Linked DNA regions of Mytilus edulis. The protein of the gene in region 1 purifies or fractionates together with the protein of each later gene. This does not show direct contact. Links are inferred from orthologs where the notes say so. Each region holds a gene or a part of one and is shown in the gene's direction. Other genes may lie near its edges. The genes, in order: protein AATF-like, nucleolar protein 10-like, RNA cytidine acetyltransferase-like and neuroguidin-like.

Region 1 (8,012 bases):
GTACAGTTTTTCTAGAAACGAGAATCCTCACAAACAATACTCTAGTGTAAAAATGTCACGTTGTTCTGCCTGATTGCCATGCAAAAAACATGAAATGCTCTCATCAAATTGGTACAAATGTTATTATCAATCAAATTAATTTACTGATTTTTGTAGAAGTCCCGGCAATGCTGGTTACTTCAACATCACGAAATAAAGTTTGCAACAAACTTCCAGTTATAACTCGAGACAACTCAGTGGCATGTATGTTCACAGGACAGTTACGTTTGTAACTGACGCGTCTAGCATGTGTTAAAACAGTAGATGACACCTTTTAATTAATAGTTATCCCACGAGGACGCGGTGTGTCAGTGTAAGATTACCCCGTTGATATGCTTCGATGTAATTTTAAAAGACGTATCAACAATTAATTGAAAAATAGCCATCTTTACCTGTATTTTTATACACAGCAATCCATCCAGATATTAAATGTGCTTTAAATTTAAAGATAGAGTTACATAAACATTTTTTTAACCCAATACAGGTGATCGATTCTATTTTCTAGCACGCGATAAAAGTCAACAGTGCAAGTTAGAATGTCCTGGTTCAATTCAGTTTTCATGGAGAGATTCATAACCTAGCATCATGTCACATCTCTGGAAATTGTAGAGTGCATCCGTTCAGGCGGATTTCACAAATCAATGATGCCATGACTTGTTGCTTAGAAAATTTGCTTCACTAAATTCTATTAAAAATTAATTGTACAAAATTAGAACAAAAATCATACCTTGATGGGTCCATGCAATTCTGTTGTCATGATTGTATTTGTTACAATATTTACAAATCTTTCGATCGATACAAATGTTTTAGCGCTTCATATACAATATAGTTTTTACTTTTCCAGTCGCAATTAATCAATTGCATTGTATATGAAATACCTGATAATTAAGGTTTAGTTACAACTGCAACTGAATTGGACGACAAGCTTTTATTAAAGAAATCTACGCGTATCATCCATTAAGATATATAACGTCCAGTTACAACTATTACATGCAGATCAGGACGATAGCATGTTAAATGCTTTGTGAATATGAACCCTGCTTTGTAAAATGACCGATACCATAACTTGGAATTTCAACGGACTAGTTCACAATTTAAAATAAGTCTGGTGCATAATACGTTGCCCTAGCTGGACACATTATTCTGACCTCGAGCTGACCAGTCTATTCTTTTCTCCTAAATGTCGACTGTCATGTGGAAAAAGCAGCATGTCGACTGCTAGTTTGAAAAGCAGCAAGTCGACTGTCATGTGGAAAAGCAGCATGTCGACTGTCAAGTGGAAAAACAGCATGTCGACTACCATGTGGAAAAGCAGCATGTCGACTGTCATGTGGAAAACAGCATGTCGTCTGACTACCATGTGGAAAAGCAGCAAGTCGACGACTGTCGTGTGGAAAACAGCATGTCGCCTGACTGCCATATGGAAAAGCAGCATGTCGACTGTCATGTGGAAAACAGCATGTCGTCTGACTACCATGTGGAAAAGTAGCAAGTCGACTGTCATGCGGAAAACAGCATGTCGTCTGACTACCATGTGGAAAAGTAGCAAGTCGACTGTCATGCGGAAAACAGCATGTCGTCTGACTACCATGTGGAAAAGTAGCAAGTCGACTGTCATGCGGAAAACAGCATGTCGCCTGACTGCCATGTGGAAAAGCAGCATGTCGACTGTCATGTGGAAAAACAGCATGTCGACAGCCATGTGGAAAAGCAGCATGTCGACCGTCATGTGGAAAAGCAGCATGTCGACTGCCATGTGGAAAAGCAGCATGTCGACTGCCATTTGGAAATGCAGCATGTCGACTGTGGAAAAGCAGCAAGTCGACTGTCATGTGGAAAAGCAGCATGTCGACTGTCATGTGGAAAAGCAGCATGTCGACTGTTTTGTAGAAAAACAGCATGTCGACAATTTTCAAGGCTTTGGTTTGATTTGGCATTGGATCGAACACATGATCATTAATCAAAGGAGATGAAAGGTATGTGCCAATTATACTGTTGCAACCCAACAACACAAGCAAGGAAAATATTACAAAGAGATCAATGTACGGTCTTCAACAAAAAGAGTTTAAACTATAATCATCCGAACTCCAAATCTACTGTTTAGCAAAGTAATGACCAAGTTTTTAATTATTTTTTTATATATTTTTTTATCTATATTAAGATGTCAACCCTCCCCCTTTAATCTCGATCGGTTGAGTAACAAACGGAATATAAAAGAACACCAAGAACTAGTTACTTACTTACTTATCCTTTTCATCCCCAGTGGGACATAAGGCCACAAAAAACTGCCTCCACTTCTCTGTCCTTGGCCATGTACTGGGCTTGGCCCCATGTGTAACCCATTGCTTCTAATTCTGCTGTAACAGTTCTTCGTCAGGTGATTCTATGTCTCCCTGGTTTCCCTTTTCCTGGTGGTGTCCAATATAGAGCTGTTTTAGGTGTGCGGTGTTGTGGCATTCTCAGTACATGACCTAACCATCTAAATCTTCGTTGTTTAATTTCTGCTGTTATACTCTCAGCATTACATTTCTCCCAAAGGCTCTTGTTGCTGTTCTTATTTGGCCAGAATGTTCTGTTGATCTTTCTTAGGCAGCTAGTATGGAATGCATCTATTACTTTTTGAAGGTCACTAACTAAAACACGCCCAATTTTCTGAACCATACAGTAGGACAGATTTTATATTGCTGTATTAAATTCGCAGTTTGGTCATTAAACTCTACTGGTTGGACTTCCAGATTGTAAGTTTTGCAAATGTTGCAAGTGCCTTAGATAGTCTTGCCTTTATACCCTTCCCTGTCCCATTATCTTTACTTATGATGCTTCCAAGGTAGGTGAAATCTTCAACACTGTCCACTGACAGATAATTGATTGTTATTGGTGTTGTATTTCTAGTGTTTATTGACATTACCTTGGTCTTCTTGGCATTGACATTCAGACCAGTTTGCTTTGCATAGTTGTTAAGTATGTTGGTATTCCTTGGAGGTGTTCACTTTTTGTTGATAATATGGCAATGTTATCAGCAAAATCAAGGTCTTCTAACTGGTTAAACATGGTCCACTGGATACCCCTTTTCTTGTCTGATGTTGTTTGTCTTGGCCAATAAAAATAGGATTGGTGACATAATACATCCCTGTCTTACACCAGATTTAACTTCAAATGAGTCTGAGATAGAGTTATCAAGGATGACACTACATCCAAAGCTGTTGTAGAAGGCTTTTATTAGCATCAAAATTGTTGGTGGAAGAACTAGTTAACAATGATATATAACAATAACAAAACAAGGTCAAGACTCAAAATAATACACACACCCTTTTTCGCCCATTGCATGTTTTGGTGAGGGATACCCTTAATTAAATAACAGAGAACAAAACCAAAATGGGACATTATATAGTTATATAAGTGTGAGATTGTTTCAATAATTTAGCGCTTTAGGAAGAGTGACGGATACAAAATGGGTACTCCCCCCCCAAAAAAAAAATACAAAGCAATGGTAAAGTTTTTAGATTTCGTAAGTAAACCCCAAAATTATTTGGATCGAAAAGTAAAATTTTGCGGTGCATCATTGCATTATATCCGTAAGAATGCACCAAAGGACATCAAAGTTTGGTTGCAATTCATTCCGCTGATTGGGGGGGTGGGGGGGGGTGGGGGGGTGGGGGTCACCCTCTATACTATGTAAATGAAACTGTGGTATAAAAATTCCATGCAAACGATAATCAATTATACAGTAGGTGGCTGTATTTCATAGAGCATTTTATTCGTCAACTTTATAAACAAAACTATAAATACTATATAAACTGGCTAATTTCAACATACCAGAATCATATTTTGTTTCCGATTTTCCAGCTGTATTAATTAGACTATTTTCGGACGCCAAGAAGGGGAAACTTTTATTTTTTCAAAACAGAATTATATATGTAAGCATTGAAAGGATTCAAATATATATATAGAGAGAGAGAGAGTACAGATGTTATGTGATCAGTTGCTTCAGTAGTGAAATACACTGAGAACTTGCAACCACTTCGTACCTATCAAAACTATGTCAACTTTACGTGTGCATTTTTATGCCCCATTTATGGGCATTATGTTTTCTGGTCTATGGGTCCGTCTGTTCGTTCATCTATTTGCACCATATTTTATATTCAAATACCGGTTGAAATATTAGTTTTTTTGTTTTTTTTTAGTATATTTAAGAATTAAATGCTTCTTTTTATAACTTCATTGGGGGTGTAAAAGCGTTGACCCAAGTACATTTTGTATGAAGCGCGAAAACAGTATTGTATTTGAAGGTATGCAATACAAACAGTATTACATAAGAAATATTAGTAAATAATTATCAGCCAACCAGTAGGTCTAAAGGATTGTTTTACTGAAATATGCCATGATAATTATAATTCTCTTAAGTTAAGAATAAAAAACAGGCAAAAACCTTTTGCATATCAAATATCACATACTGCTAATATATTAAAGAATAATAATTGTGTAAGTCAGACTGTAATGTATATGTGTCAACTGTTTTTCCCCCATTTATCTAAATAAAGCTTTATGTCTTATGTCTTATGAAATAGAACGGAACGGACGGAACAAAACGAAACGAAACGAAATACATTCAAAAAGCTGCCAAATGTCTTCGAAACCAATATGTTTGTGTATTAATATAACTATATTTTTTTTTGTTATAAAAGCTGAACTCCTGTATCCTCTCTATCCCAAAGTTATTTTTTTCAATTATTTACAGTGTTTGTCATTCCATAAGGAGACCGTGCCATAGATACAATCATTAATTAGCAATATTTACGAACAGTACAGAATAAAGTCGAGATGCTCATTTTACAAATCCTTATTAGCATAATTCTGCATAGAAAAGGGAACTTCGTTCTCGAATGCCTGTGCATTTAGTGTCGTGTACTGATTAAATACAATAAGAACCGAGTTCGAAATCTGTGTAATAAATTTAGCTTACTCTCGTTGATTGCATTTGGAAAGTTTCTAGACTATTCATGGCCAGATTCGCATACATGAGCAAGCATGGTTAGCCTACGCGAACAGATAGCTAAATTATCATCAACTGTACCAGAATTTAAAGATCCTGAAGATTTTTTTGGAGATGGTAAATTATGTTCTTATATGGGTAGAAAAGAATAATGATGAACTTATATTATAAAGTTATTGTCAGTACGGCCAGGAGTGTAGATACGTGCACCTGGTCAAATCGGCACCTGGTTAAATCGGCATTTAGTCAACTCGGCATCTATTGAAAGTCAATTCGGCATCCAATAATATTTCAAATAATATATTTAAATAATCCTAAAAATGTAAAAAAAAAAACCAACATCAAGCAGTTAAAATACAAAAGTTATTTGTTTGAAGTTTTTCCAACATTCTATGAATGATGTTTTGATTAAGTTTTTTTTTCAGTGAATTAATTAATAACTTATTTCATAATTAACATATTTGTTGTTTTAAGTTTTAACTCTATACATGTAGTCATTGATGTTTTCTTTTCTTCAAAATCTGAATAAAAAAACAATGAAGCCATTACCATGTTGTTTAATTATGAGGCCCTAGTGGTATATCTGATACTTAAAACTGTAATCCTCAACCTGCATTTTAGACAATTTCTGAGAAAATTAGCAACAATTAAAGGGAAAACTATGAGTCTTTACCAGTATTAATACTAATCAAACTCGCATGGAAAATAATTAGCAAGAAAGAAGGTTTTCTTGAAAGTTTATACAGCATTAAACCAACAATTGTGCATAATGCTCAACTGGTTCAAATATGCATTAAAAGTATCCAATACCTTGAATACACATTTTAAAAAATGAACAGGAAAAAACCTACAGAAACTTTAAATAATGTAAATAACTCAATATTTTTCTGAAAATGCTTGATAAAAAATACATATATTTATCATGGGTGCCGAAATTACTACATCGGGTACCGATTTAAGGTAGCACAATACAAAGATTTTATAACTCCAACTCCCAAGTTTTAAAATGCTGTAACTTTCTTAATAATGCTTGATAATTTATAAAAGTGGTAGTTTTGGATAGCTAACAGATTACTCTTTCAAATTAATGCAATGTTAGTATTATGCAACAATTATGTAACCAATTATAATGTTAACTGTGTCTAAAATATTTTTCACCAAATTTCCACTTTCAAATGAAATTAGCCTCGGCATAGGTATCCCTAGAGGGTTGATTTTATTACATGTTGTTCCTATGGCCATTATCTACAAAAGGGTGTCTCAGATTTCAGATAGAATGTATAGATCAAATTTTACACCTAATTAAACATTATCTTCTTTTATGTGGTTAGGATGTTTACACTACATGTAATTAGGGATTTATGAGAGAATGGAATACCATAGGGACAATTTGAGACACCCTTTTGAAGCCCATGATATGTTGATTAAGATTCCGTTAAATTTTTCTGTTTAGCTAAAGAAATGATAGAGCTAAATTCATTCAATTGAACTGACCAAGATTTTGCCACTAATTACATAATAATTGATTACATAATGATTGCATAATAAAAATATTGCATTCATTTAAAAGATTAATCTTTTATCTATCTATATATACCTCTTTTATTATTTTGTATGCATTCATAAGAAAGTTACAGCATTTTAAAGGTTAGTGATTGGAAGTAAAAAAATCTTTGTATTGTGCTACCTTAACCAGGTGACAATTTGACTAGGTCCCAATTTGACTATACCGGGTGCCGATTTGACCAGGTCACGATTAAACCAGATGCCAATTTGACTAGAATTCGTAGATACGAATCCATGATGTAATTATAAGTATTGAATGCTTCTTTTTGTAATTTCATAGGGTTGTAAAAGTGTTGACCGTGTGTACATTATTAGAATATTAGAATGAAGAGGTTCCGCCCTTCATACAAAATGTACTTGTGTCAACGCTTTTACACCCCAATGAAGTTACAAAAAGAAGCATTTAATTCTTAAATATACTAAAAAAAAACCAACTAATATTTCAACCGGTATTTGAATATAAAATATGGTGCAAACAGACCCAGCAGGCGAAAAATATAGGGTGCAAATGTTGTTTTGGGAGCAACGGATGTGATACCTTTAAATATGATTTTGCAAATCGTACATCCACTACTCTCCAAGCCAAACAAGGTTATGATTCCATCCCATTACTCACAATGAAGCAAACAGGAATCTGTTTCATTATAAAATAATGCCCTCTAAATTTCTAGTTAAAATAATTATGACGTCCTGGACGTGTTCATGTTGGAAGGCTTTTATATTTTTTTGCTTTGAGGCCTGTCAGTCTTTCATTATTTCATTGATATAAACAATTATGTCTTACCTTTAGCAATACATAAATTCTAATTGCATTAACATTTCATTTGTGTTTCATAATATTTATTTTAAGAAAATAATTACTGAAGCGTAATCTTTCTTTCAGAGCAATACCTGCCTTTAGATTGCATGCAATAAAGAATGAATAATCACCACATTCATGTCCCAGTGAATTCAAAATCCTGGTCACATTGTCCGGTTTCCCATAGACAAGTTTCCTATAAAGTTTTTTTTTGGAAAATTTAACATCACAAAGCAGATATTTGCATGTCATGTTTTGCCCTGAATGAGCCATAGTCAACAAGGGCAATTCATTTTAAAATTGAGAATGGAAATGGGGAATGTGCCAAAGAGACAACAACCCGACCATAGAAAAATACAACAGCACCTGGTTAAATCATTGTTTATGCAAGTTGTCTTTCATCCTTCCTGTAAGAAATATAAATTGTTCCTGGTGAAGGTAAATAAAGAAAAGTCAGACTGACAAAAATATTATAGTGTTATTTTAATTCATATGGAGTGTAGACATAATGAACTTCTGCATCTGATTATATGGTTACAAAAGATTACATTATGGTACGAATTAAATTCTAGGTATAACTCATACATAAATCATAATTTCAAATTGGACGTAAGT
Region 2 (8,020 bases), on another chromosome or scaffold:
CAGACAGAGTGAAGTTAGAGCACTGACAAAGTGAAGTTAGAGCACTGACACATTCAAGTTAGAGCATTGCCACAGTCAAGTTAGAGTACTTACACAGTCAAGTTAGAGCATTAGCACAGTCGTTTTAGAGTACTGACAAAGTGAAGTTAAAGAACTGACATAGTCAAGTGAGAGCACTGACAAAGTAAAGTTAGAGCACTGACAAAGTGAAGTTATAGAACTGACACAGTAGAGCATTGACACATTCAAGTTAGAGCATCAACACTGTCAAGTGAGAGCACCGACACAATCAAGCTAGAGCACTGACACAATCAAGTTAGAGCACTGACATAGTCAAGTTAGAGCATTGACACAGTCAAGTTAGATCACAGAAAAAGTGAAGTTGGAGCACTGACACAGTCAAGTTAGAGCACTGACACAGTCAAGTTAGGGCATTGCCACAGTCAAGTTAGAGCATAGACACAGTCAAATTAGAGCATAGACACAGTCAAGTTAAAGCATTGACACAGTCAAGTTAGAACAGACACAGTCAAGTGAGAGCACTGACACAGTCAAGTTAGAGCACTTACACAGTCAAGTTAGAGCATCCACACAATCAAGTTAGAGCATCAACACAGTCAAGTGAGAGCACGGACACAATCAAGGTAGAAAACTGACACAATCAAGTTAGAGCACTGACATAGTCAAGTAATAGCACTGACACAGTCAAGTAGGAGCACTGACACAGTCAAGTTTGTGCATTGCCAGTCAAATTAGAGCATAGACACAGTCAAGTTAGAGCATAGACACAGTCAAATTAGAGCATAGACACAGTCAAGTTAGAGCATTGACACAGTCAAGTTAGAACAGACACAGTCAAGTGAGAGCACTGACACAGTCAAGTTAGAGAACTGACAGTCAAGTTAGAGCACTGACATAGTCAAGTTAGAGCATTGACACAGTCAAGTTAGATCACAGAAAAAGTGAAGTTATGCACAGAATCAGTCAAGTTAGGGCATTGACAAAGTCAAGTAAGAGCACTGACATAGTCAAGTTAGAGCACTGACAGTCAAGTTAGATCACAGAAAAAGTGAAGTTAGAGCACTGACACAGTCAAGTTAGGGCATTGACAAAGTCAAGTTAGAGCACTGACACAGTCAAGTTAGAGCACTGACAGTCAAGTAAGAGCATTGACAGTCAAGTTAGAGCATTGACAGATTGACACAGTCAAGTTAGAGCACTGACACAGTCAATTAAGAGCATGTATATGTATATAGTTTAAAAATAAAACAAGCTGTGATGCTTGACACTGATAAGTTTTTGCTGGACCATACACTTTTATTTGAGAAATTGAATCATTCAGTAAAAGGATTTGTACAGGGACAGGCTCTGACAGTCTCACTTTAGAACTGTACAAATCTTCGTTCAGTGAGTGAGAGGACGCATTTAAGCAAATCATTACCTTCCAGCTATGCATAATTCTTTAACAGGTAAATAGTTCAAAACTTCTAATATGATGTTGTCAGGTAGTAAATCAAAATTGGCCATAAATGCAAAGTTTGTTTTCCGAAAAATAAATTAAAACATTTATGTGACATAGATTTTTTCTTTAGATATTTCTATTATATGTATTACAAACCCGTATTCAAACCCAAAATCAACGACTGATTTACATTAATATTTTTTTTACTTTATCCTTTGGCAGGTGTTACCTGGAAAAGAGACGAAGTCGGAAAACATAAAATTACTTAACAGTATCCTGTTAACATAAAATTGAGAATGAAAGTGGGGAGAACAGGATCAACAACCCGATCAAAGAGAAAAAACAGCCGAAGGACACCAATGCGTCTTCAACCTCGCGAAAAAATCCCACAACCGGAGGCAGGCCTCAGCATGCAGATTGTACATACATGTGTATATAAAACATTGTTTTCGATTCCCAACATAATGTCTTATTAGAAAGTCACTGAATTTAATAATAAAAAAAGCCAAACAAACATGATTTATACATTAAAAACAGACTAAAATAAAATTGAGAGTGGAAATGGGGAAAGCTTAGTGTCAAAGAGACAACAACCCGACCAAAGAGCAGACAAAGGCGGAAGAACACATATGGGTCATACTAAACTAAAAAGGCCTGCAACTTAGAAAATCAAAAAATAGTTTACTTAAATACTTTAAAAGATATCAAAATTATCTCCCCTTGACCACTGATTCTTTCCTCATGCATTTGAATTATTATTTTATGTTTCTTTAATTACTCTGTAATGTTTATGTCATGTTGTAATTAATCACGTTATGCTCTTAATGGGCCCTTTAATTTGGAAAATAAAAATATTGTATTGTATAAACTCTGAAATATACACAAGAAACTAAAATTAAAAATCATACAAACTAACAATTTCATAGGCCAGAGGCTCCCGACTTTGTACAGGCGCAGAAATGTGTCGGGGTTAAATATGTTTTCTTTAGATCTCAACCCTCCCCCTATACCTCTACTGAGCCAAAGTAGAAATGTGTCGGGGTTAAACATGTTTTCTTTAGATCTCAACCCTCCCCCTATACCTCTACTGAGCCAAAGTAGAAATGTGTCGGGGTTAAACATGTTTTCTTTAGATCTCAACCCTCCCCCTATACCTCTACTGAGCCAATGTAGAAATATGTCGGGGTTAAACATGTTTTCTTTAGATCTCAACCCTCCCCCTATACCTCTACTGAGCCAATGTAGATCTCAACACTCCCCCTATACTTCTACTGAGCCAATGTAGAAATGTGTCTGGGTTAAACATGTTTTCTTTAGATCTCAACCCTCCCCCTATACCTCTACTGAGCCAATGTAGAAAAAAACAAACACACAACGATCTCAACCCTCCCCCTATACCTCTATTAAGCCAATGTAGAAAAAACAAACACGCAACAATACGCACAGTATAACTCAGTTTAACAGAAGTCCGAGTCCGATGTCAGAATAGTTAACAAAAGCAACTAAACAAACTGACAATGATACATAAATAAAAGGACTACTAGCAGTAACTGACATGCCAGCTCCAGACTTCGATTAAACAGATTGAAAGATTATATCTTCATCATATGAATATCAAGTTCAATCCCAAGAAATATGTATTACATATCAACAAAAAATATGTATAAAACGTCAATTTTAACTCTTTTAACTTTATCTATAATTCTTATAATTCATTCTTTAATTGATACAAAATGTATCTTTATCAATAATTTAAATAATCTGATGATTTTGATGCAAAACTTTTTGTCATCATACATATGTTTGTATCTTTCTGAGAAAGCAACAATTTATATATGATGCATTTAATACAGTGAACCTTGACAAATATACAATACATTTTCAATTATAGATAATAGAGAGATTTTTATTATCGATACAGAAATTGTAAAAAAAAAAAAACCAACAAAAAACTCAACAAAAACAACAAAAACTGAAATAGTTAAACGGGTAGTTCTTGTTACGTCAGAATTACCGACTAAACAACGTACCTGCAAACTACTAGAAAAGAACTGCATGTAACACACGACAAAAGAATGATACCGGTTTTACAACATGTATCTAGCTTCTCTACAGATTACCGTGCATCAGTTCCCTTATGTACAACGATTATAAGTTATAGGATATGTACACACACACTTGCAAAGTCAACCTACAGGGTAAATTCTCAAAGTGATTAGTTAAATGTGATCCCTAGTTCTATAACCGCTGATCAATATAGTAATCTCAGGTTAAATGGAACATGTGGAAGGTGATATGTGTAGCTATTGAATCTGGATGCCGGACGTGTCAGACACACTAGACAATAACATTATTGAAGCTTGAGGGCTGCAACTAATTAAAACTTGAACAGTTAGGTGCTTTTTATATAGTGCGGCACACAGTCAATATTTTTGGTCTTCAATAAATAGAATATACAAATATAAAGATGTGTATAAGATACAAAAATATAAGTAAACAGTGTCAAAAGAATATTGGATCATGAATTTGCGGAACTGTACACAAATAACAAGTTCCAATATATATTTCATTATGTTTTAATTTTTAAAAACAAAATCAAAGTTAGTACTGATATCCCAGTACCGTTGTTAAAAAAATACTGCTGTTTTAAATTGATAACCTTTAATAAAGTGGATAATATGTATCTGCCTTTAAGAACAATTTGATTCCAATGATGAAATAGTTGAAGCATGGATAGTGTCATATTTTTCGTGCTTATAATAACAACATCAGCGTAAAAACAAGGATGTGGTATCCGGTTTTTAGATAGAATTAACCAAATCATTGTAATTATGAAAAAAAGTTGGTAGAGGGATGATCATTGTGTGGTAACGAGACCCCCAGATTAAACTATTTTCCAGTCTTACTGTGTGACTCATACATAGATGACATTCATTAAAATCTAGAATTCTACTATTGACATGCACATTGCTTACAAGTTGTGAAATAAAATAAAAATAAATTTTCCATTATTGGAAGATGATTTTCCTTTTGTACCTTTTCATGAGGTGCATATTTAAAGTGGTACAATTAATTTCCATAGGAATATATACAACCTGTCAATTAACTTTATTGTCTTAAACGCTAATATATATTTTCAATGAGAAAATTTACAGCCGTAATAATTTCATCACAGTTCCAGTAAGTATATCTAACATATTTTCCTTTTCCATTAGAGATGTATGAGTTGCAGCAAATGATTACAACCAGATATTTTAAATGGAATACAGACAGAATGTCTTTTTGATAAGATTGTGGTAGTGTAGTGTACAGAGTAGAAAAATCATAACTATCAGCCAAATTGAAATGACCATCAAAAGCACGTAATTTATCCAATCGATAAAGAGTTCATATCTCATAAGAATCTGAGACAACTCTACTTTTGTGTTATAGTAGTCTGACCAAGAGATTATGTTTTATTTTATTTCATCTAACCGAATCAAAAACAAACCATAATTCATAATTACCTCGGTATGTACCCGGGACCAATAGGCACATTGTAGATACATCTTTATTAGTTATCTCCCTTTGAACAAAAATGTAAACAACTGCACGTGTGATTGTATTATTATTTTACGCAATTAATATGCAAGTTTCTAATCCAAACAATGTGAAAATATACAATTTAAGTGCTGGTAAATCATTACCTCAGGTAAATGACTAGAAATATTTTATGGTTATTGATAAATATTGAAAAGGTGATCATGGAGTCACAGTGTGGAATATAAGCGAATATTTTGTATAAACCCTTATCTATCACTTAACATTATCTTTAATTTTCTTATATGGATGCTCTAATGCTGTGTTCACACGTAATTCGAATTCTATTCACATTAACTAATTTTAATGTCCGTTTGTTATGATGAACCTTAATTTGCCTTCGATACAGTAACATCCAAACGGTAAATTCTAATTTGAATTGCAATGTGCACATCAAAATTATCCCTTTACTGTCCTAACGACGTTAACTTTTAATTCGAATTAACAAAAACACATTTCTAATGCAAATTGGATAATGGGAATTAGCTAATTCGAATCAATTCAAATTAAAAAGGAAGAGTGTGTGAACACGATTAGCGAATTCAATTTGCATTAGATTCGAATTCAATTCAAATGAAATGAACGTGTGAACGAGGCATAACTGTGTAAATATAGTACTCAATGCGAAGGATGATTAAAATGTCACAATTTTTGCTAGAAGTGACCTCTAAGTAAGAATAAACCCTGCTCCTTTCAAAGAGCTTATTTTTAATCCATTTTTGATGCAGCCTATAAGTTGTAGTAGAGTATGTCCCTGGTGTTTGGATGGATTGCCTAAATAATGTATATATTGACTCATGGTGTAAGAATGCTTTAACATTTATTTGATTAAATAATGTAATGTTTGGTGGTCAGAATGATTTATGTCGGGTATAATGCTAGTATGTAATATGGGGACAAAGTCCCCAATAACGGTAGACAAATTGAAAAAAAAATGAATAAATTGGTGAGAATTTTCTACTAAACTCAAAATTGTTAACTTTTTTTTTCAGACTTTTTTAAATCCCCACATCTGCGCAGAAATCTACTTCCTTTTCCGGTCTTGTATGCATGAGACTTTGAATAAAATATATATTTATCAGTTTACTAAAATATATAAGGAAGGAACTCAATACCAATTCATTTTTATACGACCGCAAAATTTGAAAAATTTTTCGTCGTATATTGCTATCACGTTGGCGTCGTCGTCGTCGTCGTCGTCCGAATACTTTTAGTTTTCGCACTCTAACTTTAGTAAAAGTGAATGGAAATCTATGAAATTTTAACACAAGGTTTATGACCACAAAAGGAAGGTTGGTATTGATTTTGGGAGTTTAGGTCCCAACATTTTAGGAATTAGGGGCCAAAAAGGGCCCAAATAAGCATTTTCTTGGTTTTCGCACTATAACTTTATTTTAAGTTAATAGAAATCTATGAAATTTTGACACAAGGTTTATGACCACAAAAGAACGGTTGGGATTGATTTTGGGAGTTTTGGTTTCAACAGTTTAGGAATTAGGGGCCAAAAAAGGGCCCAAATAAGCATTATTCTTGGTTTTCGCACAATAACTTTAGTTTAAGTAAATAGAAATCAATGAAATTTAAACACAATGTTAATGACTACAAAAGGAAGGTTGGTGTTGATTTTGGGAGTTTAGGTCCCAACAGTTTAGGAATTAGGGGCCAAAAAGGGACCCAAATAAGCATTTTTCTTGGTTTTCGCACCATAACGTTAGTATAAGTAAATAGAAATCTATGAAATTTAAACACAAGGTTTATGACCATAAAAGAAAGGTTGGTATTGATTTTGGGAGTTTTGGTTCCAACAGAATAAGGGGCCCAAAGGGTCCAAAATTAAACTTTGTTTGATTTCATCAAAATTGAATAATTGGGGTTCTTTGATATGCCGAAACTAACTGTCATGACTGTATATGTAGATTCTTAACTTTTGGTCCCGTTTTCAAATTGGTCTACATTAAGGTCCAAAGGGTCCAAAATTAAACTTAGTTTGATTTTGACAAAAAATGAATCAGTTAGGTTCTTTGATATGCTGAATCTAAAAATGTACTTAGATTCTTGATTATTGGCCCAGTTTTCAAGTTGGTCCAAATCGGGGTCCAAAATTAAACTTTGTTTGATTTCATTAAAAATTGAATAAATGGGGTTCTTTGATATACCAAATCTAACTGTGTATGTATATTCTTCATTTTTGGTCCTGTTTTCAAATTGGTCTACACTTAAGTCCAAAGGGTCCAAAATTAAACTTAGTCTGATTTTAACAAAAATAGAAATCTTGGGGTTCTTTGATATGCTGAATCCAAAAATGTACTTAGATTTTTTATTATGAGCCCAGTTTTCAAGTTGGTCCAAATCAGGATCTAAAATTATTATATTAAGTATTGTGCAATAGCAAGTCTTTTCAATTGCACAGTATTGCGCAATGGCAAGAAATATCTAATTGCACAATATTGTGAAATAGCAATTTTTTTTTAATTAGAGTTATCTTTCTTTGTCCAGAATAGTAAGCAAGAAATATCTAATTGCAAAATATTGTGCAATAGCAAGATTTTTTTTTAATTGGAGTTATCTTTCTTTGTCCAGAATCAACTTAAATCTTTGTTATATACAATATACAATGTATATTCACTTTTTACTACCAACTGATAAATTAAAATAATCTTTACCATTCAGTGATAACAAGCAGTTTTTTTACATCTTAATATTTTATGATGTATTTAAATGAGTAGTTATTGTTGCAAACTCCATTAGAAATTTTAATTGAGATTAGTTTTGGAATAAGGGAAAGGGGGATGTGATTAAAAAAATTGGGTTCAATTTTTCTCATTTGAAATTTCATAAATAAAAAAGAAAATTTCTTCAAACATTTTTTTGAGAGGATTAATATTCAACAGCATAGTGAATTGCTCTAAGAGAAAACAAAAATTTTAAGTTCATTAGAACACATTCATTCTGTGTCAGAAACCTATGCTGTGTCAACTA
Region 3 (6,830 bases), about 14 Mb from region 1:
ATCGGATTTTAATGAGATTGCACAATACGCATGGATGTCCTTAAAATAAACTATTATCTGAATTTACATGTTAAACACGTGCTCAATTTCCATGCTTTTTTGTTTATTTTTCGTCAATTGTTGACAAACAGGTGACAATCGTTAAACTTCGGCTTTAAAACACGAACTTTAATTACCTGCCATATTTTCACAACAACACTGACCGATTGAAAAAAACAATTGACGATTATACGATATTTACACGAAAAAAATGATAAATTCGAGCACAGAAGACTAAGTTTATGATGTTTGTATGTATTGGTTTAAGAATTGGAAGAACAATATTTTTCACCGGTCACTCGTTTCTTATGACTTTAACAGTAAAAGTAGTATTAATAAATAAAATAATTTTGTCATTCAAAGTATTACAAGATACATAAGTAAAAGCAATATTAATAAATAAAATAATTTTGTCATTCAAAGTATGATGGGATACATAAGCACAGAGTCACGTCAAATTGATATCTTAAAAAAACAGACTTAACAGTAAAAGTAATATTGATAAAGACAAATAAAAGAATACTATAACACATTATTAAGATAATAAACAACGTGAATATTTAACATACCTCTGGATACGATCCAAGAGACATAAGACTGAAAAATGGCATCCTTGATGGTCCACCAATGTTTGTAGCAACAGAGAACACATTCTCTAAGGTCTGACATAAATCATTGACCAGTTCTCTAAATGTTAATAGTGGATAGGACGTGTCAACCAACAACATTCTGGCTGAAAAATAAATTATACTGTACTTTTATTTGTGGCATACCAATTTTTGTGATTTTTGTGGGTGGCTTCATCAACATGTCCCAACGAAATATATAGCAACTGTTGTCAAAATACAGACATGGAAAGGTCCCCATGTATACTATAGATTTGACTTGCTACATGGTTATGGGCATACAGTATAGAGAATACATCTAGAATATAAGCAAAATACTATGAACTATATATATACAACTTCAGACAGAATTTTACCAATTTAATCTTTAAAAAAAACAAAAGGATAAAATAAAATCCCATCTTAACACCTCAAAATACCTATCTTAAAAATAAAAATGACCAAAATAAAGAATTATGAACTATGTCATGACATTAAAAATTAGCATTCTTGAACATAACCCTACTCACATCAGATCTGTTAAAGGATAAAAAAAAAACCTCATAATAATCTAATTGGTGAAATTGCAGGTGGCTTCATGTCAAATAAATAATCTGCATTTGTAAAACATACTTACCAGGTTGTTTACCAAGCAGCATCCTTGTACCCTCTATTTTTTTCATGTTGCCTGCCATATCAGCAGATGATGTTTAAGTGACTAGATAATAAAATATCACATCTGTATTGTCTTTACTGCCATCTACAAAATATAACAAATAATAAAAGTTCTCTTAAATATATGGAGAAAGACTACATTTTGGTCTCTTGTGGAGAGTTGTCTCATTGGCAATCATACCACATCATCTTTTTTATATATATATACAGTTATTCAAGCAAAGTGATCATAACAATATATCAGAATAAGAAAATATGATAAGATTGACAATCAGTTAACTATCTATCAAAGACAAGGGATAATGATATTTAAGTCCTCAACAAGTTACCATTCAATGGATAATGATGTGTGATAGGTGTTTAACATCCAGTTGCAAATATTACATGCATATTGGGACCAAGACATGGTTTCTCACCTTGAAAAATAAAAAAAATGATTTCCTGTAAATAGATGAAACTTTGAATATGTTGTTATTTATTTGAACATGTCTTCAAAGTTTAATTGCATTAAATAACTTTTTATGGAAAAGGTAATACTAATATCCCTAGATGATATGAAATAATTTACGGATTGCGAATGTAAGTTGTTACTTGAGAGATGAGTAATAATATCAAATTATACTTAATATCTAATAATTTTGTCATTCATCTTTTCTTAAGTGTAAGTAACAATGAGTAATTTGGGAAGATGTATTAACTGATGTTTGCTAAATGCCCAGTGGCAAATATTTCATGAATGTTCAGAATAAGAATTTGTAAATGAAATACATTAATATAAGTGTACTCAAGTAAAAATGTACAGAGTCATAGATACATCTACTATGGTGCATACTTATACTCTGTAAAATGGGGATACTAATTAAATCAAAATATTATTAAATTTATTTCAAATATCTATGCATTGGATGAAAATGTACATGTAACTAATTTCTGTTATGCATTCATGTGTATCCCCTCTTAGACCCAAATGTTTTTTTTTCTAATTTGGGCACCAATTGTAACTGGGGAGCATGATTATTTGGACTACGGTAGATTTAACTAGATTCAACATACAAAAAATACAAAATCATCTTTGTCTCCTCTGGGAGGCAAACATGGGACCTCTGTGTTACAAGGAAGAGTGTAAACTGACTAAGCAATAGAAGAACTTCTTAAGCTCATCCGCTAAGGTAGAATATACTGCATGTACTAAGGAGAGCAATACACCTTATCGCTAATCCCGGCTTACCCAGCTGCTTGTACTTTTGATGTCATACACAATCACTTTCCATTGTGGAGTAAAATATTTTGTTTTATGACTTCAAAATTTTACATGGAACCTGTGTGATATCCAGTCCTAGCAGACAAATAGCGATAAGGTGTATCCTGTAACACTATCAAGCAATATATATCACTGCATGTGGTCACTAGTGCTTTAAAAAAATCCTGGGGAATGTCACCGTGAGCTCCAATGTTATTAAGATTAAACAAAGACATATATATACACATATCTTTCATATCTGAAAGAGGTGTCAAACAAGGCGATGTTCTAAGCCCTTTACTATTTACTATTTTTATTAATAATATTGTTGAAAATTTAAAAAACAATAGCACAGACCCTGAAACATTGAAAATAGATTTTAAATATTAACATGAAGCAAGTAGCACTAGTAATGTGTTCATATATGTCTTTTGAAATATATTGTGCAAAATAAAGAAAATAAAGATTGGTTTCCTGTCACGTAAACGGTGAATCAAAATGTATTAATTTTTTCTTAAAAAACTCAATTGTTCCATTAATACTATTCTAACACCAACACAACCCACAGAATAAAAGTTAAAGTTTTAGAACTTATAAAAAAAGGATACAAAAAGAAACCAAAGTCTGAATACTAAATTATGGTCCATATATCTGTATATCAAACTATTACTTAATAACAAGTGTAGAAAAACACTTAGATTAATATCATCTTTTATTAATCAATCATTTGAATTAAGGAAAAATGTACTTATAAATGAGTAATATGAACAATTTGAAGCTATAACATACAATATACTTATGTCAGTAGTCTATTAACCTATATATATTGATATTTATAACTGCACATTTCATTGTTCATAATGTGCACAATGATATACTATGTAATATTGTTTAATTGCTGCATCATTACTATTAGTATAATAGTTGTATGGGCCGTTGCCAATTATTGTAATTGAGTTTGTGCCAATACAATATTTGTATGTCTCTGGATTAAAATTGGGGATTGAGACTGCATGCATGCTTCTCAAAACATGGAATAAGTATTGCTGACTGGCATTAGGCACCACCAATCATTTACTTTGTAGAAATAATGTTTTAGTATCAACTCAATCTTTACTTGGCTAGTGCTTAACTAAATGCAGGTGTATCAATCTATTTTTGTTTTGCAGACGAAAAATTACAAACAGGAAGTTCATAAACTAATTTGAGAAATGCTTACTGAAACGGTCAAGATATTCCGGAAACATTTTTTATGAATTTTTAAAAATGCTATGGCACCACACGACCAAGTAGGGACCAAGTACACTATTGGTATTTGAGTAACAAAATATATAAATGTAAAAAACTCTTCAAGCCGCAACATTGTGGTGAATGACAAATTCAGTGAAATTGTGTTGAGAATATTCGATTTGTCGTATCCGATATGTTTCGCCTCCATCTCCGAAGTCGGTTTATTACCGGAAGCACGTGTTGAAAAAGCAAAACACAAATGTTTACCACTGTACTTCGTTTTTGTGAACATCGAGGCTCGAACATCTACATACTGCGTGACAAGTAAGACAGTATCTCACTGTAAAACATATTTTATATGTAAAACAATGTAAGTTATTCATACAAACCAGGTTTTAAAACAAAAACGTTTGATCTCAGAAAAACACCAGTTAACAGGTCAGGAATAACCACCAATTGGTGGATTATACCTCAATTGACGTATAATCCACCAATTGAAGTATATTGGTATAGACCAATTGACGTATAATGCAATTTTTTTGTAATAGAATGCTAGTGTGAGATAGGAGCATGATTTTGCAACTTGCAACCTATTTTATGGCCCTTATTGAGTCCTCTGAAAGTTTCAGTTTTGTCAAAGCCTGCTGCATCTCTTGTTACATCCCAGCTCCTTTGTTCTAACAGGGGTGATCTGAACCGGATCACCCCTGCCAGATCACCCTAGTTTGAGTTTCTTTGTTATGCATGCTTTCCTTTGTTCTGTAACATTTTGGCGGGAATGTCAAATCCACTATAAAACTTATAATTAATTTTACGGAAAAGACTATCTATCAAAATTCACGTAGAAAAATCCAGTAGATATGCTGGGATTCGAACTCAAGACCTTTAGCATATCAAGCCACGACACATACCACTACACCAGGACGACTTGATACGAAATAATAGTAATTTGACATACTTAAAGGAAGCAAGATATTTTTATTAGTGGGGCGAGTTGTCAAACCTTTATTCAGTGGGGTTTTAACCTTTTACGTTAATTTGTGAGTTTTCAGACTGATTGTTCAATTTGATTTTACACTTTTTCAAAGTGGGGCAAGTCGGTAAACAAGATTGGGAGGATATTTTTATAAAGTGGCGATAAAGCGTGGGCCGATTGGCAAGTGGGTCGAGTTGACATTGTTTGATATCTACTCATCGTGTTTGGGGGTCAAAAAGGGTATACATCATATAGTAATATATAAAGTATATTGTTATGGTTGTGTGGCGTTCTAAACTAGATTTTATGAATTGTAAATGGTTTTTCGTCTAATCTAAAACAGCTGGGATGTAAAATAGTTATCCCAGTCGGACTTGGTGTGTCAGTGTTAGATCACCCTCTGGCCTCCGGCCATCGGGGTGATCTTACACTGACACACCGCGTCCTTATGGGATAACTATTAAAGAATGCATGTGTACAACAATTCTTTTGTTGAAACATTTGTACTATTGACCATGATTGACTTTTGATAATGAAAGTCAAGTATTAACAAAGAGCTCCATTCACCTGTGGAGTTGTACTCATGATCGCATGACTGCAGACAGTAATGATGTCCATTGACAGGTGATTACAGGTAAATTTGCCAATCAAGAATTGACAAGATAACAATAGAAGAAACTGCAAATACAATTATTGATTAAATGCAATATGTTATGTCACTATACTAAACTAGGAATGTTTGACAAGTTTTCATACCATAATATGGTTTTAAGAAAACAATGCTCCATTTTGATAGAATAATTTCTTTTGAAAAACAAAGAATTATACACCAATTGGTCTATACCATTATACGTCAATTGAGGTATAATCCACCAATTGGTGGTTATTCCTGACCTGGTTAAGACAGTTTTCTCACAAATTCACAAATGTAGCCTAATCTTTCTTAATACTCAAGTATATAACCAAAACTCACACTGTTGCTTCTGTGTCGGTCTGAATAACTAGAAATATGAATTTGAATTCAGTATTAGTCGAAATAATTTTGACGTCTGGCAAGGCAAAATTAAAATAGCCTTGCCGTCATAATTAGTTGGACTAGTTCAGTATGTGACCGGAGAGCATAAATTTCATTACAAAATTGCTCGTCACCCAATGTCTGAACCTAGGTCTCTGTGTTATAAGTCTTTTTTTTCTTTTATTCAACAACAGTATTGCTCGCTGTTAACAATTACTACACTACTGTGTTACAAGTCAGTGTGTATACCCACTGAACTAATAAAAGTAATTCCTTAGCTCCACTGCTTACGGCTAACTTTGCATCTACCACATTTTACTATTTATGGAAGCAATCCTGTTACATGTCCCCACCTCAAGAGTGATTATACTCTACAATGATGATATATTCATTTTTATATATATTATTCCCGGGCTAGGTAATATTCCTCTAACCGTTGGTTTTATTGTTGGGTGCCAAATGTAATGGGAGAGCATGATTCTTGTTACAAAATCATTTGGGACTCAAACCAGGGAAGTCTGTTATAAGGCAGTGCGACAGATATGTGCCAACTGAGCTAAAGAAGTACTTCCTTAGCTGAACCGCTTACGGCTGACTAAGTATCTATTTTCTGCAACAAGTTAGATTTACAGTTTTACATGCCCAGGGAGAAGTGCTAACAACAGAATTGCAATGTTTCCCACTCCTGAGAAAGATATTATATAAAAATGTAAAAAGATGTCCGCAAATATCAAAAATCATCAAAAGGACCTTGTATTAAGAGCTACGTTTTCGCAGCTATGTGTATGGATGAAGTTACTCAAATCTTTTCATGTTGATAAATTGAGTGTAGTTTGCTTAACATCTAGTGACATCTTTTAATGCTGATTGACTTGAGTGAAGTTTACTTATTGACTACTGTGGATTCATTTATTTTCGTGGGTACCAATTTTCGTGGTTTGAGAAAAATTTGCATATTTGTGGATATTTGATTTCGTGGTTTTGCCAAAGTCTGCACACATTCCTTCAGGATATTTGTAATTCGTTGAATATTTGAATTCGTGGTTCTCA
Region 4 (7,590 bases), on another chromosome or scaffold:
CATTTAGCCTTCAACAATGTAACCCCATACTGTACAGTCAATAATAAAAGGCCCAGGAATAGTTTACCAATGTATAGGTTTTGAATACCTAAACATTAGCCTTTTTCTTTTAAAGCTCTCTAACCATTATGCCAACATAAAAATACAGCAGAATTTTAATGAATTCTTTTATCAGATGTTTAATATCGTATAATGTGATGTCAGTCTTGTGGAGAACTAAATAACTAGAAACACATCAATATAGGACTCCTTTTATAGGCTCATGGAGTATGAGAAATTGAATCTCAAATGTTATGAATGTATAGCAGGACATTTCTACTTTATTAACTCACTCTGAGCATCTGTGGTGTGGGAGGGTACAACCTTGTGTCTATGGCCTCATTATAGGCTGGAGGAGGCTCAAATAAAGATGATCTTTCTGGATCCATGTCGTTATCTATTGATGCTGCAAGATAAATATAGCTTAACATGAACATTGCTGGTCTATTGAAAAGTGTGACAAGGAAACAAACATTCCTTTCAACATATTTCATAAAACTGAAACTAAAACAAAGTAAATTAGGTGAATGAGACAACAATGTCAGGAAGGATAACAATATGCACAAATGTATGCAACATTCAAGTGTTCACTTCTAAAATATGTTAATGTACTGGTATGTATCATAACGATTAAGACTCTTTACATTTTCATGATTTTGAATGTATTTCACAAATGATTAGCATCAACAGCTACTGTTTACTGTTTTAGATACATACATTATAGATAAATACTCAAATAAATAACAGACTTTTATAAGGGTTCAAATAGAGCCCCTACATATAACAAGACTTATATGAGGGTTAAGATAGTATCCTTTAATTTTGAAGCTGGAAAAGGCAAATGAAAAACTTATCCACATTTATTTATGTATATAGCATCAATGACATGTGCTACAGTATTTACTCTTGTTTGTGAGAATCAATGGTGCTACAGTACTTACTTTGATGTCTTGACCTTGACCTTGTTTGTGAGAATCAATGGTGCTACAGTACTTACTTTGATGTCTTGACCTTTACCTTGTTTGTGAGAATCAATTGTACTACCATACTTACTTTGATTTCTGAACCTTGACCTTGTTTGTGAGAATCAATGGTACTACCATACTTACTCTGATGTCTTGACCTTGACCTTGTTTTTGAGAATCAATGGTGCTACAGTACTTACTTTGATGTATTGACCTTGACCTTGTTTGTGAGATTCAATGGTGCTACAGTACTTACTTTGATGTCTTGAGACCTTTACCTTGTTTGTGAGAAACAATTGTACTACCATACTAACTCTGATTTCTTGACCTTGACCTTGTTTGTGATATTCAATGGTACTGCAGTACATACTCTGATTTATTAACCTTGACCTTGTTGAGAATCAAAGCTACTACCATATTTATTCTAGTGTCTTGACCTTGACCTTGTTGGTGAGAATCAATGGTTCTACAGTTCTTACTTTGATTTCTGAACCTTGACCTTGTTTGTGAGAAACAATTGTACTACCATACTTACTCTGATGTCTTGACCTTGACCTTATTTTTGAGAATCAATGGTACTACAGAACTTACTCTGATTTATTAACCTTAACCTTGTTTTTGAGAATCAATGGTACTGCCATACTTACTATGATGTCCTGACCTTGAGCATGTTTTTGAGAATCAATGGTACTGCCATACTTACTCTGATTTATTAACCTTAACTTTGTTTTTGAGAATCAATGGTACTACAGAACTTACTATGTGGTATGATGTCTTGACCTTAACCTTGTTTTTGAGAATCAATTGTACTGCCATACTTACTATGATGTCTTGACCTTGACCATGTTTGTGAGAATCAATGGTACTACAGTACTAACTCTGAGTTCCTAACCTTGACCTTGATTTTGTGAACCAATTGTACATTACTACAGTTATTACTCTGATTTATTAACCTTGACCTTGTTGAGAATCAAAGCTACTACCTTACTTACTCTGATGTCTTGACCTTGACCTTATTTGTGAGAATCAATGGTACTACAGTACTTACTCTGATTTCTTAATCTTGACCTTGTTTTTGAGAATCAATGGTACATTACTACAGTACTTACTCTGATTTCTTAACCTTGACCTTGTTTGTGTGAACCAACAGCACTTTACTACAGTACTTACTCTGATTTCTTAACCTTGACCTTGAAGCATTTCTTTGTCTTTGTTGAAAACAGTATAACACAATAAGGAAAATCACCACAGCTATTCCCACTACGATCATAATTAGTATCGTGTTCTGATTCATCAACTGTTCCTCAGCTGAAATCACATCAAATTTACAACAAAACTCTTAATAATTTCCACTTAGTATTTCGAAAGAGGTCAGTTGTATTTTAGTTATAACTAGAGGCTAAGAGCTATTTAACACTATTATGTCCTAATATCATCAATGCTCAGATGAGACAGCTTGCTGATCATTCTTTGTTAATTCTCAAAATTAGGGTCAGAAGGGAAACTTTAAACACATAATACATCATTTCCCTTTTTTTTCAATTCTTTTGTGTAAACATGGTAAATAGTCAATTTAATCTGGGGATTAACAGTGAATGATATGTCAATAAAGATGATAAATATTGAATGGAATTTTCTGTTTTCAATCTAAGAAGAACTTACGACACAGATCTATCTTTGAAATACATCTTCCATCATTACAAGTTTTCTCCCCTGAAAGCTCACATGATCGGTACTCAGGTTCTTTTGGCACAGTTATGGTGGTCATGTTTTTAAATCTAAAATGTTTTCCCAACCTGAAAAATAGTTTAAAAAAACTAATTACGAATTGAACATTTTTCCTTAATGTTCTATCAATGTTTTAAAAACAAAAGTAATAAGTAATTATTTCTGTATATATGCAATAAAGATTTTTTATAAAGATAAGTATAAAGGGTTAACGAAGAATATGGAAAATGTCACAGTCGAGATTTCAGAGATTGTTACATTTGACTATGCAGTATTAGATGTTGTAGCAACATGAGTAATGAGGTCGAAGATGAAACACATTTTCTTTTCAACTGTGATAGTTTATCAGACCAAAGGAAAGACATGATAACAATGATAAATAATTGCTGCAAAAATTTTAAAAATCTTGACCTTAACCAAAAACTGATATGGTTAATGAATAATGAAGATGAGAATTTATTATCAGAATTATGCATGTTCATTAAGAAATATGAAAAGTGTTAATGGGATTTATCTCCCTCTACTACTTGTAATTTGAACTTTATATTTTCTCTATAGTGAGTTCTAGAGCACCGTCCCTTGATGAATATTGCCCAGTAGCAATGTCAACCCTTGCTGCTGTGCATTAATCATGAGGAGAATCACTATTGGAGTAATCTCATGTATCTGTAGCTAGTTCTGAAGGATCTCCCCTTGATGACCTTTGCATTGTTGTGATGTAAAAGTCCCTCACTGCTGTGCACTGGTCATGAGGAGAACTACTGCATGTAAACATAAAATTGTAAATTTTACCCACGCATGCACGGCACATAGTCATCAATATTATGATGGAGTGCGGAAACTAAAAGAAGAAGAAGAAGAATGAGATACTATATTCCTGGTTCTATTTTTACTTTTTATTTCCGTATTAATAAACTTTATATCATATTCTTTTAATATTAAATCGACCTCATTGCACTCAATGCCTCTTACCTTAATTATATCCTACATTGCTCATATTATCAATTTATTATTTGTGTATTACTTATAATATTGTGTATTTCACTAATGTTTATATAATTATTGTATGATGTTTTTGTATCTTGCCCCACAAGGGCCCATGATTGGTTTAATAAAATAATGTCTAAAATGTCTAATTAGTCCATGAGATTCCAATCCTTCTTACTATACAAATCCTTGGTTTTTCTCATTGTTGACGGCTGTACTAACAAACTTTCAAATACTACTTATTTTCAAAAGTTATAAAAGGCAAAAATGAAAGGTCAATAAATAAAATTAAAAGTAATATATGTAACAAAATTTCCATTAATTTAAATAAAGGTATGATGCGGTAAATACTTTTAGTACATGGCCGAAACTACCAAAGCCGAACTGCCTATATGACCGAAACGTCTTGTTCCCCACTCCTCATCGTTCTCAAAGTCATTTAAAAACAAATGAGAAATAAACAACGTGGGTGTACACGATAAAAAATGATTGACACTTACATTTATTACGTTAATACATATCAGTATTATTTATCGTAACTTCAAAGTATTTTCTAGATTAATTTTAGTCCATACTGAAGCTTTACTTTGCTTGTACAAGTTCCTTTTTTGAGCACTCCACTCTCTTGTTTCTTTTTATTTTGTTAATAATCTAGTAAATAACCAAACCAACTTCGGTCAATTTCTCCGGAACGATTCTTTTGGGGAATATTATCACCTTTCTATTGTCTTTTGTTAGAATTAACAGAGATATGTTGGCTTGGCTGTTTTATACATATCAAATCTTCCTTTAAATATCACAGTTCGAAATTGCTGTAAAAAAATTAACACAAAAACATCCGAACTTGTTTATTTTATTACAATCTAAACACGATTTCCGGTTTACTAAATTATTTCCCCTGGACCTTGTTTTCAACATAATTTGCAGCCTCTAATCCACAAAGTTCGTCTACCTAACGATATAACCATCATAGAAAAGGTATATTTGTGTTATTCAAGTGATAATAAGACATTGTTGCTGTTTATTGACAGAAACCTACATATTTAAATTGAAAAATTAATATGTTTAAAAAAATACCAATTTGCCATTATATTTTTTTTTGGTAGACATTATTTTTTAAATCTATATATTAAAATCCAAACAATAGAAATATACTTTGGTTTGATGATTGTAACTTGATTTGGCAAAATATCCTTATCCTGATTCGTCAGAGGTCTGAAATATTTCTTCTTCTTCTATAATATTTATTTGCTACTGGCAACTGTTATTTTTGGAAAAATATTTTAAAACATGATTTGTTTAAAAGAAAGTGAACATTTTATCGTCATATACTTAAAATTCATTCACCAAGAATTTTACAGTTGTTAGTCAAAAAGGTTCCTCTATAACCACTTATCGCAGGTTACAGTAGACAGAAATATACAAATGTGCCTCTATTTCTTCTTTAATGTTTTTTTTTTTATTTGTTTGTGCAAAATATTTCCAAAAACGTTCAAAAGTAATGATAAAATTAGTGACAAATCCATCCGAGGTATATAGATGACCTATTGGATATTTTTTAAATGGTTGCCCAGATTTCACAAGATTCTTCTCCATTCTTCATATATCAAGAATATTAAATGAATTTTGCACCGAACTCTGTTAAATTTGAAGGACCAGAATTTCAGGAGCATTTGGTTTATATTATCTGGAATTTAAATTATCTGGAAATTCTTGTGTTCATCAAAATTTGCATCGTTTGGTGCGATGAATGTATATCATGTATATTATACAATCCAGGAGTAGAAATATGTTTGAAATTTTCTCTGAGAGTCCAACTGAAAAAAATAAATTTGGCAATATTGTGTCTGAGGAAGGCATCACAGCAAATGATTAAAAAAGCCTTTCAAGTTGTCACAACTATTAGAACATTTGTACTAGGAAATTTTATGCTCCCTTGGATGTGATCAGATTCAAATTTGAAGAATGGTGTGCTTCTTTATCATGTTTATGATGAAAAATTAAAAAAAATCCATAAAAAAATAAAAACTAGAATGGAGTAGAAAGCTTATTTTGATAATGCTACCAGTGTAGACTAAAAGCAACTAAAATCTACCATCTATATGTATATTGATATCATCAACACACTTTTGAAAAACAATATCATGATTAAAGTGCAGAGTTTTATTTTGTCTAAACCCAAAATATCAAATTAACAGGACCAACAAACACATTAAATTCCATGGGAAAACCAAGATTTTAGCCATATGATTTAGTTGGATCAAGTACATGTACATTGTCACGTTTGGCCTTACATTTATTTTTAATTTGTCCTATATAGATAAAGATAGTCTGCGTTTTTCCAGTTGAGTGATGTTACAGAAGTTGTGGTCATAGGACAAAGAGCTGAAAATAATAGTTTGCTGACAAGAATACCTTGGATCTGCAAGTAAGCCATACCAAAGTGGTTGTAATTTCCCTAAACCCCTCTTTTTTTTCTTTTTTTTTTGTGTACATGTAAATCATGTACATGATGTATGAAAAAAAAAGCTTGCTCTGATTTCTTGTATCAATTATTAATTTCAATCTGTTTTAAATTGTCTAATTTAATATCACTATAAAGTGTGTCAACATTGCTCAATAAATGTTTATTTAGTTTCACAGTATAGAATGTAAAACAAGATTATACTCTCAGGTTAACAACAACATTTTCTGTAAAAATTGATATTTGCACTAAAAAAAAATTCTGACAGGTGGGCCTGAATAATTTACACGTGCATGGGGAAACCAGCATTCATATTTCCATGGCCTATCATGTTTGGTTAGACTGGAAGTTGTGAAAGTGTTCACAGGATTGGATTAATAATGAGATAAAATATTAAACAACTTGTTTTCAATTAGCTCCTTTTGATTGCAATTTAATACTTGTCTCCCAAACATCCCATAAACAGGTAGGTGCCCTTCATTGCTTTTCTGTGTTGATGGCCCTTCTTTGACCAATAATGGTTTACTCTTCCATTTGTGACTTGGATGGATAATTGTCTCATTGGCACTCATACCACATATTCTTGTATTTATGTAGCCTCTTAAAGTGACTTTGTATTGAAATATCCTAATATATTATTTTTTTTATAAAGATATGACTGAAGTACCAAAGGCATTAGAATTAATGTCTGATCTGAGAAGTAAAACACAAGATGTTATTAACCATACAGACAACATTCTAAAGAAGGCGAAGGAAGGACAGTTTGATACGTCAAAGGTAAATAGAGCTTATTACCAGATATCATTAATTAGACAGTATTTCAATGAAGGTTCTAATGCCACATCTTAATTATCTCCCTTGAATTATACAAATATTATCTTCTCTGTTCATGATCAAATAATTTTGTAATTCTTTTGTATTTTTATGAAAGAATAATTCATGGAATCATATGTCATGTATGTTTATAAAAGAAAATACAAGTCAATGGTCAGTTTTATTAAAAATTTTACAAATGTTATAAAAGATGACAGCCAAATAGATATTCATCTAAAGAGTATAATTTCTGTTTTAGGGAATCAGTTTTCTAGAGACTAAGTACCAGTTGTTACTAAGTTATTTGATTGACTCTACATTCCTATTCCACAAGAAGACCAGTAGCCAGTCCATCAGTGGGGATCCTTCTATAGAACGACTTGTAGAGATTCGTACTGTATGTTAAATCAATATAGATAGCCACTTGATTTAAAGCAAGCACTTAATATCACTTTAATATCATATCAATTAATGTAGCATGTATTTTAAGACAATATATTTATTTACAAAGGAGATGTACATTATTTTCATTGATATAAAAATGAAGAGATATGGTATGATTGCTAATGGGACACCTATCAACCATAGTTAAAG

What was found.
Region 2: the proteins of protein AATF-like (region 1) and nucleolar protein 10-like purify together in Homo sapiens (affinity purification with mass spectrometry; 4 studies listed by BioGRID and IntAct, counting the BioPlex papers as one, with this or other methods). This does not show direct contact. The link is inferred for Mytilus edulis from reciprocal best matches to the Homo sapiens genes AATF and NOL10.
Region 3: the proteins of protein AATF-like (region 1) and RNA cytidine acetyltransferase-like purify together in Homo sapiens (affinity purification with mass spectrometry; 3 studies listed by BioGRID and IntAct, with this or other methods). This does not show direct contact. The link is inferred for Mytilus edulis from reciprocal best matches to the Homo sapiens genes AATF and NAT10.
Region 4: the proteins of protein AATF-like (region 1) and neuroguidin-like purify together in Homo sapiens (affinity purification with mass spectrometry; 3 studies listed by BioGRID and IntAct, with this or other methods). This does not show direct contact. The link is inferred for Mytilus edulis from reciprocal best matches to the Homo sapiens genes AATF and NGDN.

The regions. Positions count from the first base shown.
Region 1 is NC_092350.1:18,299,630-18,307,641, forward strand, and holds the start of protein AATF-like, read left to right. Parts: upstream 1-5,000; 5' UTR 5,001-5,067; coding exon 5,068-5,149; intron 5,150-8,012. UniProt on the Homo sapiens protein: Part of the small subunit (SSU) processome, first precursor of the small eukaryotic ribosomal subunit.
Region 2 is NC_092344.1:119,866,867-119,874,886, reverse strand, and holds the start of nucleolar protein 10-like, read left to right. Parts: upstream 1-5,006; 5' UTR 5,007-5,087; coding exon 5,088-5,153; intron 5,154-8,020. Other genes in the region: F-box/LRR-repeat protein 12-like, read right to left, coding at 1,442-1,527.
Region 3 is NC_092350.1:32,050,665-32,057,494, forward strand, and holds the start of RNA cytidine acetyltransferase-like, read left to right. Parts: upstream 1-3,823; 5' UTR 3,824-4,113; exon of another isoform or gene 4,114-4,159; intron 4,160-6,830. Other genes in the region: meiosis 1 arrest protein-like, read right to left, coding at 609-772, 1,282-1,339. UniProt on the Homo sapiens protein: RNA cytidine acetyltransferase that catalyzes the formation of N(4)-acetylcytidine (ac4C) modification on mRNAs, 18S rRNA and tRNAs.
Region 4 is NC_092348.1:507,938-515,527, forward strand, and holds the start of neuroguidin-like, read left to right. Parts: upstream 1-4,582; 5' UTR 4,583-4,697; intron 4,698-6,039; 5' UTR 6,040-6,147; intron 6,148-6,835; 5' UTR 6,836-6,837; coding exon 6,838-6,960; intron 6,961-7,255; coding exon 7,256-7,393; intron 7,394-7,590. Other genes in the region: uncharacterized protein, read right to left, coding at 333-445, 2,175-2,312, 2,667-2,800, 4,220-4,221. UniProt on the Homo sapiens protein: Part of the small subunit (SSU) processome, first precursor of the small eukaryotic ribosomal subunit.